Xenopus tropicalis: one gene and its partners. The protein of the gene in region 1 interacts with the protein of each later gene in a pairwise test. Links are inferred from orthologs where the notes say so. Each region holds a gene or a part of one and is shown in the gene's direction. Other genes may lie near its edges. The genes, in order: erbb2, fgfr4 and ezr.

What was found.
Region 2: the proteins of erbb2 (region 1) and fgfr4 interact in a protein complementation assay, tested with the Homo sapiens proteins (2 studies listed by BioGRID, with this or other methods). The link is inferred for Xenopus tropicalis from reciprocal best matches to the Homo sapiens genes ERBB2 and FGFR4.
Region 3: the proteins of erbb2 (region 1) and ezr interact in a protein complementation assay, tested with the Homo sapiens proteins (2 studies listed by BioGRID and IntAct, with this or other methods). The link is inferred for Xenopus tropicalis from reciprocal best matches to the Homo sapiens genes ERBB2 and EZR.

Annotation. Positions count from the first base shown.
Region 1 is NC_030686.2:9,811,927-9,815,581, reverse strand, and holds part of erbb2 (receptor tyrosine-protein kinase erbB-2), read left to right. Parts: intron 1-143; coding exon 144-242; intron 243-870; coding exon 871-1,056; intron 1,057-2,257; coding exon 2,258-2,413; intron 2,414-3,585; coding exon 3,586-3,655. UniProt on the Homo sapiens protein: Protein tyrosine kinase that is part of several cell surface receptor complexes, but that apparently needs a coreceptor for ligand binding. Essential component of a neuregulin-receptor complex, although neuregulins do not interact with it alone.
Region 2 is NC_030679.2:46,330,179-46,333,932, reverse strand, and holds the start of fgfr4 (fibroblast growth factor receptor 4 precursor), read left to right. Parts: upstream 1-892; 5' UTR 893-1,210; coding exon of another isoform or gene 1,211-1,259; intron 1,260-3,356; coding exon of another isoform or gene 3,357-3,376; coding exon 3,377-3,506; intron 3,507-3,754. UniProt on the Homo sapiens protein: Tyrosine-protein kinase that acts as a cell-surface receptor for fibroblast growth factors and plays a role in the regulation of cell proliferation, differentiation and migration, and in regulation of lipid metabolism, bile acid biosynthesis, glucose uptake, vitamin D metabolism and phosphate homeostasis.
Region 3 is NC_030681.2:64,210,760-64,214,414, reverse strand, and holds part of ezr (ezrin), read left to right. Parts: intron 1-558; coding exon 559-719; intron 720-1,184; coding exon 1,185-1,277; intron 1,278-3,596; coding exon 3,597-3,655. UniProt on the Homo sapiens protein: Probably involved in connections of major cytoskeletal structures to the plasma membrane. In epithelial cells, required for the formation of microvilli and membrane ruffles on the apical pole. Along with PLEKHG6, required for normal macropinocytosis.

The DNA of each region.
Region 1 (3,655 bases):
TGATCTTCTGAAGACTCTGAGATGTCTAAACCCAGTCTAAACCTCATTTAGCTATGCTTAGAAAAGAGTTGAGCACTAGGGTGGTTAAACAATATGTTTCCATTTGGTAAACCCTATCCCGTGGCTGTCTTTCCCATTTTTAGGGTATTTGGATTCCAGATGGTGAAAACATCAAAATCCCAGTTGCCATCAAAGTTTTGAGGGAGAACACGTCACCTAAAGCCAACAAAGAGATCCTTGATGTAAGTATCAGTTTAACACATCAGTATCTGCAAACTGCTATGCAAGTTTACACTACTGTCTGTTCTGGAGCACGGAGACCAGCATCGCTGGAAGAAGATACACGGAGCTACTTAGTAGCAGCTACTTGTTACGGCTACTAGACACCACAAAATCCCCTGCCATAGACAATACTGAGAATTGCCTCTGCTAAACACACATAGAGACAGTTATCAGTAAATGATCAGCATTGTCTATTTTAGTAGCCACAACAAGTAGCTGCAACTAGTAGCTCCGTGTGTCTCCACCCTTAAGAATACAGCACGGCCAAGGCAAGCAGGCAACACTATATTCATATGGGTAAAGACACACGGAGCTACTAGTAGCAGCTATTTGTCACAGCTACTTAAACACAATGCTGATCATTTACTGATAATTGTCACTACATGCATTTTTGCAGAGGCAATTCTCAGTCTTGTCTATGGCAGGGGATTTTCTACCATAGATCAGCCATCTTTTTCTTTCTTTCCACCTGTGTATTTAATATTATTTAGTTGTATACACGCAGTTTTATGTGAAATTCCTATTTTTTAGTAATGTTTAAATTAGTAATAAATGTGTAAGAATATCAGTAACTCTGGTTTTGTGCAGGAAGCCTATGTGATGGCAGGGGTGGGCAGCCCTTACGTTTGTCGGCTGCTAGGGATCTGCCTTACATCCACCGTACAGCTTGTCACCCAACTCATGCCGTACGGCTGCTTACTGGACTATGTGAGGGAGAACAAAGACCGCATTGCTTCCAGAGATCTCCTCAACTGGTGTGTGCAGATAGCAAAGGTAAGAAGAGCTAAACCCCTCATAGGCAAAAGCCCCCACAGACTGCCCTCCATTGATCCCCTTCCCTGCAGAGTCTATTGAGGTGCCCATACATGGGCCGATTCTAGCTGCAGATATTGGTCCCTTACACCGATTCGGCAGCTAATCGGCCCGTGTAGGGGCACTACCGACGGGCCTGCCTGACCGATATCTGGCCTGAAATCAGCCAGATCTTGATCGGGCAGGTTAGAAAATCTAGTCGGATCGGGCACTTTGTCTATACCCGTTGTTATAATTCGACCGTTTGGCCCCAGGGCCAAATGATCAAATTAACTTGGATTCTCCTGATATCGCTCACCCGTAGGTGGGGATATCGGGAAAAGATCCGCTCGCTTGGCGATGAAGGTGCATGGCCACCTTTAGATGCAAAATTGTCCCTGTCGTGAAAGCTGACCTATAGCAGAGTAGCACAAATTACTTCCCAGTCTATCCAATTAACTCTGCAGGGAGGGAGCAGGGAAGGGGGGCTAGTTGGGGGCAGGATGTGCAGGAATTCATGGAGACTTTGGATTTTTGCGCGCAACATTGGTCATGCACCACTGTTGATAGAATCAATAGCGCTGAGTGTGCGTGTCTGGGTTACAGGGAGTAAAGAACACACTGGGGCTCATTTATAAACACAGGCAGATTTGCACGTGGGCAGTAATGACCAATCAGTGATTGGCTTTTTTTAGCCAGCTGCAGGTTAAATAGTTAATGCAAACACTTAATTGGTTGCCGTGGGTTACTGCCCAGATGCAAAATTGCCCAGTGTTTATAAATGAGCCCCACTGACATAATTAGTAAGAGGGATCTGGGTGTCGGGGGGTACAGAATCTGAACTGTAAGTAAAGGAACAGACTGACAAAATCATAGTAGTGAGTTTGAGTGTTACATTGGGTAAAAAAATAACAGAATCGGTATAAGTTAGTCTATCAAAAAAGTTTAGAGTTTAATACGTAAAAACTCAGTTTCTATTCATTGCTATTGGATTTTTAGAAGTGTATTTATCAGTGGGTGAAAGTTTATGTTCATCATTCGATAAATACACTGCTAAAAACCCCACAGAAATAAATAGAATGTGGGTGAATTTTTATGTATTGGGCTCTAAATTCACATTTTAATAAATCTGCCCCTAAATGTCACGTTACACAGCTGTGGGTAATATACATGTTTGTCGCAGGGGATGACCTACCTGGAGGATGTGCGCTTGGTGCACAGAGACCTAGCTGCACGCAATGTACTGGTGAAGAGCCCGTCACATGTGAAAATCACAGACTTTGGCCTGGCCCGACTATTGGATGTGGATGAGACTGAGTACCACGCTGATGGTGGAAAGGTAAGAGCCATCAAAAATTGTAGCAACAAAGGTTTTAAAGGATAAATAAGCTAAATAAAGATACATATGAAGTAGTAGAGTAAGTTGTCAGGAGAAAGAGAGGTCTGGGCTGCTGTTCCTCTGGTCAGGAAAGACATTGGAAACCTCCGATTACTTTCCTTACATCTTTCCTAACAAGAAGAACATCTTTCTTTCTGCTGACAACGTCTTTAACTACTTCATGGTCAGAAACCGACCAGCAGGTGGAGCTGTTGTGAAAAAAATTAATTCATATTGACAGTACAGGTATGGGACTCATTATCCGGAATGCTTGGGACTTGGGGTTTTCCAGATAAGGGATCTTTCCATAATTTGGATCTCAATACCTTAAGTGTACTAAAAGATTATTTAAACATTAGATAAACCCAATAGGATTGTTTTGCTTCCAATAAGGATTAATTATATCTTAGTTGGGATCAAGGACAAGGTACTGTTTTATTATTACAGAGAAAAGGGAATCATTTAACCATTAAATAAACCCAATAGGGCTGTTCTGCCCCCAATAAGGGGTAATTATATCTTAGTTGGGATCAAGTACAGGTACTGTTTTATTATTACAGAGAAAAGAGAATCATTTAACCATGAAATAAACCCAATAGGGCTGTTCTGCCCCCAATAAGGGGTAATTATATCTTAGTTGGGATCAAGTACAGGTACTGTTTTATTATTACAGAGAAAAGGGAATCATTTAACCATTAAATAAACCCAATAGGGCTGTTCTGCCCCCAATAAGGGGTAATTATATCTTAGTTGGGATCAAGTACAGGTACTGTTTTATTATTACAAAGCAAAAGGAAATCATTTTTAAAAATTAGAATTATTTGCTTATAATGGAGTCTATGAGAGATCGCCTTCCTGTAATTTGGAACTTTCTGGATAATGAGTTTCCGGATAAGGGACCCCATACCTGTACTTTAATCTTGGAAGTAAAAAAAGAAATAAATAATGAATGTGAATCACAAAAGTGCAAGGTTTACTTATCCTTGATAAAGCCTATCACATGATGAGAGCAGATTTGCCAATAGCCATTTGAGGCACCACATGACAGCCCCTTTGTAGATCATAAAGGTGGTAGCTTGGTTTCCAAATATTAAAGATAATTTTTTCTCTGTCCCACTCTTTCCCTCACTCAGGTCCCCATCAAATGGATGGCTTTAGAGTCCATTTTGCATAGAAGATTCACCCACCAGAGTGATGTCTGGA
Region 2 (3,754 bases), on another chromosome or scaffold:
TTTATTGTGATTGGTTTATGGCCCCTAATGCAGTACTCAGAATTGTGACTGACAGCCCTAAATCAAATTTAAGGCTATATTAAGTCTGAAGGATGTAAGTCTGCCCAGCTAAATAAGGGCTAATTTACACTGATTGGATCAAGCCAGAATAATGTTGCATCTGTCAGAATCACACTTTGTGACATAGGGTGTCAGGCTGCATTCTCTAGCCAAGAGGTTAGAATTAAGATCTATTGTAAGGGCAACTTTTGTATATATCGCAGTGATCAGTTTGTGGATTAGGATTATTGTAGTTACGTAGTACCAGCCAGCGACACTGACATTTACAATAATTTGTAACAGTGATTAAACAATTTGAGAAACACAGTTACAGAACATAGATAAGATCTGAGGGCCCTGGATAAGATTATTATTGAATTCTCGTTGGCCATAAATATTGACCATGGAATGTTCAAAAGTTTCATCCTATGGCTGCTCGGGCTTCTACTTACTGAGAATTAAAGTTTAGCAATAGCTATAGAGCCACAGGTTGGCCATCCCTAAATAACATCATTAGGCAGAAGAGAATCCAAAGCAAAGGGAGGAATCCCTGCTGGGAATGAGAAAGGGCAGAGCTGGGCAGCGCAGGGAGGCAGTTTAATCCTGCAACACAAAGCTGGGGGAGAAGTTAGCTAATTTGAGTGTGAAAGGGTGAGTAGGTGGGGGGGAGGGGAGAGAAACAGCCCAGAGGGAGGGGGAGCAGAGCCTGGGGGCGGTGTTACTGGTGGGATTCCCTGTAGCATTGCACCCTTTATAGTCCATTGTTCAAGGGAGGGGGAGAAGAGATCGCCTATTGAGTGTAACCTGAGTAACTTGTGCCAGTGCCTGAGTGTGAGAGGGAGCCAGCAGGGATATCGTACCCTATGCACTGGGCAGCTCGGCGGTAGCACCGTCCATGGTCTCAAACTTCCTACTGGCTGGGACCGAGCCGCACCGTCCTAGATGGCAAGTTGCACAGGAGCCACGCTGGGCTAGTGTTTCGCGGGAGCGGGCTATCGTGGGCGAGTCTGGATCCCCTGTGTGGATTAATATTTGGGGCTAAGGATGCTGAGTGACTGAAGAAAAGGCTTTGGCGCAGCTGCGCTTTTTGTTGGAATATTTGCCTTTGGTTCGGCGCTTTGGGGATTATTAGTGCCGTCGGGGAACGGAGCCGATCGCGGACTTCTTATGAATGGGGAGCCCCAGTAACCCTCTCACTGCAGCCCGGAGATCTGTCGCAGGTACAGTATGGAGGGGGCGTGGGGCTGTGCGGCTGGGTTACACGTTACTATACCTTACTATAGGCACTGGGCAAGGCTCCTACTGTTGGTGGGATCTGATACATACACATATTCTATGGTTATTATAGTAAGGGCTAAGCAGTGCCTGTATGGAAAGCGCTGGGGGTCACACGTGTGTAGCGGTGTTGTTATTGCTCCCCCCCCCCCACCCATGGGCACCCAGTGCCAGCAGCATGGCCAACTAGCTGGGCACCCCCTGCTCTCCCAGCACCCCCGGTATAGGAATTGTAATTGAACAACAGCTGGGGGGCCGCCACTTTCTAGCCTCTCGTATTGAATGAAGGTCCCATTCATTGGAGCTGCTCTTGCATTTTGATTTGTGTTTTACCCGAAGCTGCTTTTGTGCAGAGCTTTTTTGTGTTTGTGTGAAGTCCCCTTTGTGTGGCTCGGATTTAATGGAGGGGCAATATAAATGTCACTGGGTGGAATTGGTGATTTATTGGCTCTCTGTGGAGCCCCAAGCTCCAAGCATCTCACACACTGCCTGGTCTATTATATTGTGCCTGATCTGGGGTATTGGGGCTCAGTTTTTTTCCCTGTGGACTTAGATTTGTAGCTAAAGCTTAATCACAGTTTGGAGATTGCTAAGTAAACAACTTAAGGTGCCCAGGGACTTTGTTTCAGTCTTATATACATTGGTTGAATAGATTTAGCTTGTGGTTTATGTGTTTTGACTTTAGTGGTGCCCAGCTAGCATGCTGGGAGTTGTATTCCCATAACACATCGAAAGCTGCAAACCCATGCCGCCTTTAGATGGGTAGTTCTATCATTTTTATTCATATGGTGAGAACAAAATATTTCATGTACTTTGTTCCCGAAGAATAAAGTAGATTTTGTTAACTGACTTTGCAAGGTGACAGTCGAGTCATAACAATGCAGTGTGTAGATGCAACTAGGAGTGACTTGTTGCACAGTGCGTGATTAATAGTTCATATACTGGTCTGTATTGATCTGTACTATATTCTTACTGTATAGCACCGCACAAATTAATCAGGCACACTGTAAAAATTATAATGCACTTTTCACCGGGTTATCAAGATATTTCATTTTTGCTGATACAGTACTAAGATAGCAAGTCTCCATTTATTTTAAGAAAATGATAACCATGACCAAATCCCCACCCCTTGTATTAATGTAGTTATCCCTTGGCAGGAGTGGCATACATTGCTACAAATTGTGATCCATTTTCATCTTCTGAAGAGAGATGGGGGAAGTTCCTGATAAGGTGCAACTGTTTCCAAGAGATGTCTGAGGAATCTTCCATTAGTCAATTATCTTCTGGTTTAGCCATCTCTCTGTATTTCTATTGACTACTCTCTTATCTTCTGTGATTGCAGAAGTGCTCTGTGTAAACTCTTGCTCTAGCACCAAAACTATTCTGTAAATCTATAACCAGAGTAGCCTTGGCACACAAAGGCTTTTGTTGCACTGTGTTCAAAGATTAAACTGGAACCCAGGGTCCCTGCAGCTAGTTACACATTGATATCTCCTGGAATGTGTATGCAGGCATGAGAAAGGGGGTGGAGGGGATTTATCCCTATTATCCTTTAGCCCCTGTTTGTTCTGGGGTTTGGTACAGCCCTGATGTGCATTGAAATCATTATAATGGTCTAAATATGTGGAGAAGTTGTAAGTCTCGAAAAGTTAATGATAACATTGACTGTAAGTGATATTTGTTTTGGGGGTGCCTACTCATGTTTTCCCAGGGGAACAGAACAGGACAGTTTAACTGTGTTTGTCCCACATGCGTGCTTTAAGTTTCATCATTCTTGCTATCACTGTCAGTGGCTTCATATACACGTCATTATAGGGATGAAGGTCATTCTTGTTTATGCATGTAAAATATAAGCAGTTATCTATAGCTTATTACCTTGGGTTCAATGCTCCATCTTGCTGTGTATGTTTGGGTGACAGCTAAATTAATTTAATAAAGGGATTCACACCTTATAGTGGGTCTTAAATATTTTGACTCATGTTGAATGAGAGCCTCTAAGATGTAATTTAACTCTGGTCCCTGGCTTCTTCATTCTTCTTCAGTTTGCCCACACGTGCCAGTCATGTCTGGATCCGTAAAAAGAAGCTTTTATGCCATGCAGAACTTTGCCAGGTTGCTGTTGGGTGTTCTGTTCGTTGCCACGTTAAGCTCATGCAGGCCAGCATTATCCGAAGATGAGGCCAACTGGAAAGGTAACTTCCATAACATATATGTATTTTTTCTTTTTTTTCCTGTTATTAAAAAGCTGCATTTGGAGTAGTTGTGCACACATAGGTCAATGTTATTGCAATTAGTGTATCGTATATGCAACAGTACAGGGCAATGCTTAAACTGTAATATCTATACAATGTAGATTTGCTAAACACAACATGTTGGGTATGGATTTTCCTCTTGACTAAAGCAACTGAAGCTCCCGTTGGAGAGAGAATCCATTCAAATA
Region 3 (3,655 bases), on another chromosome or scaffold:
TCTTTTATTTGTAACTTAAATTTTATTGAAAAGAAAACTAAACATAACAGACAGATTACCGCAGCAAGTAGATATACAGTCAAGATTGCATTGCCTTGTTATGGCAGTGCCATCAAGATATCGGAGGTGTTGGAAGTTGATGTCCAAGGGCATGTTTCATGGCATGGTTCCAGACAGGTTCCAGACAGGTGGTCTTTTGTTGATGGGGAGGCAGGTCTTTCACTTTGTATTTCTATCCTGAATAAAACAAAAAAAAAATTATAATTCTACAATTGAAAAATGTCACCTTTTAAATGGTTATAGAGCTGTCAGTTTTACTGTGATGAATGTAGAATTATATATACACTAAGGATATATATTAAGGATAACACTTAAAAGACAGTGAGAATATATTCATCTAATAAAAACTCATCAAAGTATGATGCAGGAATTATAAATGTTTAACTGCTACTTTCTTTGCTACTATATTTTCTTCATTTTCAGTTACCAAGGGAGTCTCATACATTTATTGGTTTGATATCACCGTTAAAAAGACAATATTTTGATCTGTGTTTGCAGAACTATCAGAGCAGATCCAAAGAGCCAAGGAATTGGAGGAAGAGAGAAGACGGGCACAGTATGAGGCAGAGAGATTAGAAGCAGAACGTATTTCTGCTCTCCGTGCCAAGGAAGAACTGGAGAGACAAGCAATTGCCCAGACAAAAAGCCAAGAACAACTGGTATGATACTTTTTTCTGGGACAGAGCATTAGTTCTTTCTTACTTCCATGTTTTTTTTGGAAACTCTTAATGAATATGCCAAATCTACATACACTTAATAAATGAGTGAGAAGCTTGACTTTTTGGCTTCTGAATGGAGTTGGGTCCCCAGATGCTGGACTACAGTTCCCAGAATTCTCCAGTTGTAGGCCAGAAACATCTGGGGACCAAGGTATAGGAAGCAGGGGTTGGAAAGGGGAACCATAGAACCCTGTCAGGCATTATTTTAACCTGCCACTCTCTACTTTGCATTATATTTAAATATATACATAAGGCATGTTTAAGTTTCTCTGCCAAGTTATTTGTATTCATTAAAAATATTTTTTTTATTTTTTGGTACACTTTTTGTATGTACAGTATATCCCTAACCATGACTATATTATATGTACATAATGCACTTTTCATATATATCTATACTCTAATTAGGCTTCTGAACTATCAGAATATACTGCTAGAATCTCACTGCTGGAGGAGGCCAGGAGAGTCAAAGAAGATGAAGCAAGCGAGTGGCAAATGAGGGTAAGTTTTTTACACTTTCTATGAAACTAAACATGTTTCTTTCTTTGTAAGCTTGTGAGAACCACAACATACGCTTTCTTCAAATTAAGGGAGTTTATTTAAAACACAGAAGTGACCATTTCAGCACATTTGTTGAGCTCTCTAAATAAATTGAACCCCTTGCGGACTACCAGTAAGAAAACACATATATTTGGGGTCACTTCTGTACTCACTATACTCCTTTGGGAGGATTGCTCAGCCTCTTGTTTTTCATCAATTTCACAGTGACTCAGACTCTCAGTCCCTTCATCAAAGGCTCCTTGTGCTCCTTGACGTGGCAGCACCCACAGCCCCTCTGGGAGGTCCCAACACAGGCTCTGTGCCCTGTTCAGAGAGACCTTTCTAACATTCTCACTACAATTAAATACCTTTCCACAGGAGCCTTCCTGTTGAAAGTGAGCTCCAGTTTATGAGCTGGACTACTGGAATGGATTATCTGGCCTGCCTGATTCTTTCCAGAACACTATAGCTTCCAGGACCAGGCAGCAAAATCCTTTAAACAATGAAAATGTTCTCTGTTTAGCAACATCTCCCTTGAAGCTTACATCTCCCACTATCGACAACTTAAAGGTAAAACTCACCATTTGACACATTAATTAATTATGCTCTCTCAAAACTTTATTAAAAAAACCCCAATCATCATTTTCACAACAAAGCATTCTGTCACAGAGATCACTGATATCTTCTGGAACCTATTCTTGCCACTTCCTGCATGAAGCTAAACTGGCCATACTCAGGCAGATTTAAAATGCTGCTTTGTCCTCATCAGACAGAGCAGTTTATATTCCTCCTGGCACAATGCATTAACCCTATTTACTGACCATCTTAGGGGCTGAGCCGAGTGCTGGGAGGCATGCTCTCATGTGCCTGTGTAGTGGGATTAGATAGAGAATTGCATCTGTGTGAGGGAATGTGGATAAAAAAAACTGTAAGGAACTAATCCAAAAGGGCACTGCTCAGGTACAAGCATGAACTTTTTCTATTTGTATGACCCTGATGAAGGTTTATGCTGTAAGGGCCAAAATGCGTTGGGTTTAATCTATATGGTTTTTTAAATGGTAAAATTGCTGCAGGAAAGCAGCATGCATACACAGGAACATTCTCAGTCCTTAAAGAGGAAGCATGCATAAGTGCAGTTAGATAGTAGGTCTACTGCCTATAGTTATAGTGTTAGTGGCATTCAGTGTAGGTAAGTCACACACCTCAGTCTCCAGTGGTGGCACCCTGTGTGAGTAACTGGCACACTTCAGTCTCTAGTGGCAGCATTCTGTGTAGGTGACTGAAACACCACAGTCTCCAGGGCATTTGCAAATAAATCTTCTGTTGTGAAAATAAAATAACCCAAAATCTCCTTTCACTCAAGTGCAGTACAAACCTCTGCTGCCCAGCACCCAGGTATTTATTAATTTATATGCAAATCAGTGAGATTGCTGTTGTCCACCTTAGCACTATGTTGTTGAGCTACTTAAAAAGTAGTGCTGAAAGTGTGAAAAATTGCCCTACTGCTTTATGGACCTCTTGTGCATTACACAACCAAACCAATATGGGTTAGTTGAGCTGGCAAGGGAGAGCAGCTTGGGTATACTCTGAGTGAGACAATGTGGGGGAGAGACAGCCTTCCACTCCCAATATTCAACAAAAAGTACAATTCATTTTTTTTTTTTGTCTAATGCTGTCATGTTCTTTGTCTAATGCTGCCATGTGTATTTTCAAAGTTGACCTGGTATTTGGAGGTGTGGTCACACAGTAGGCATGTTTAAAATTGGATATATGGCAGATCATTGTGTGTCTTTTTCAATTTTGTTTTTTTTGTTGGGAGTAATGAAAAATGATACAGTTCACTGTAGGTGTCAAAACTCATTGAACTGCATGAGTTGTTTGTAGAATTATGACAGAACATAAATAAATATACATACAGAACACAGTATACTAGCAACACCAGTTTCTTTGCAACATTGCTAAATATTCATTAGTTTCTACACAATCTTTTTTGTTCCTCTGCTCCACGCAAGGATTTTCAATCAGGCACAAAAGCAGAGCACAGCTTTTCCTGCAAAACAACTGTTTTTTAAAGTAGCACCAAATGGTGTGCTCTAGCACTTGCGCCCTGGAGTTGCATAAATGACCCCTTATATGATTATTATTATTATTATTAACATTTATTTATAAAGTGCCAACATATTCCGCAGCGCTGTATAAAGCATGATCTGGACATAAAAGGATGCCTTGTTGTGTATTGTGTATATATGTATTTCTAAACACAGTCATCCTTCTTTACAGGCACAAGAAGCCCAAACTGACCTTCTGCGAACCAGAGAAGAACTACACATGGTGATGAC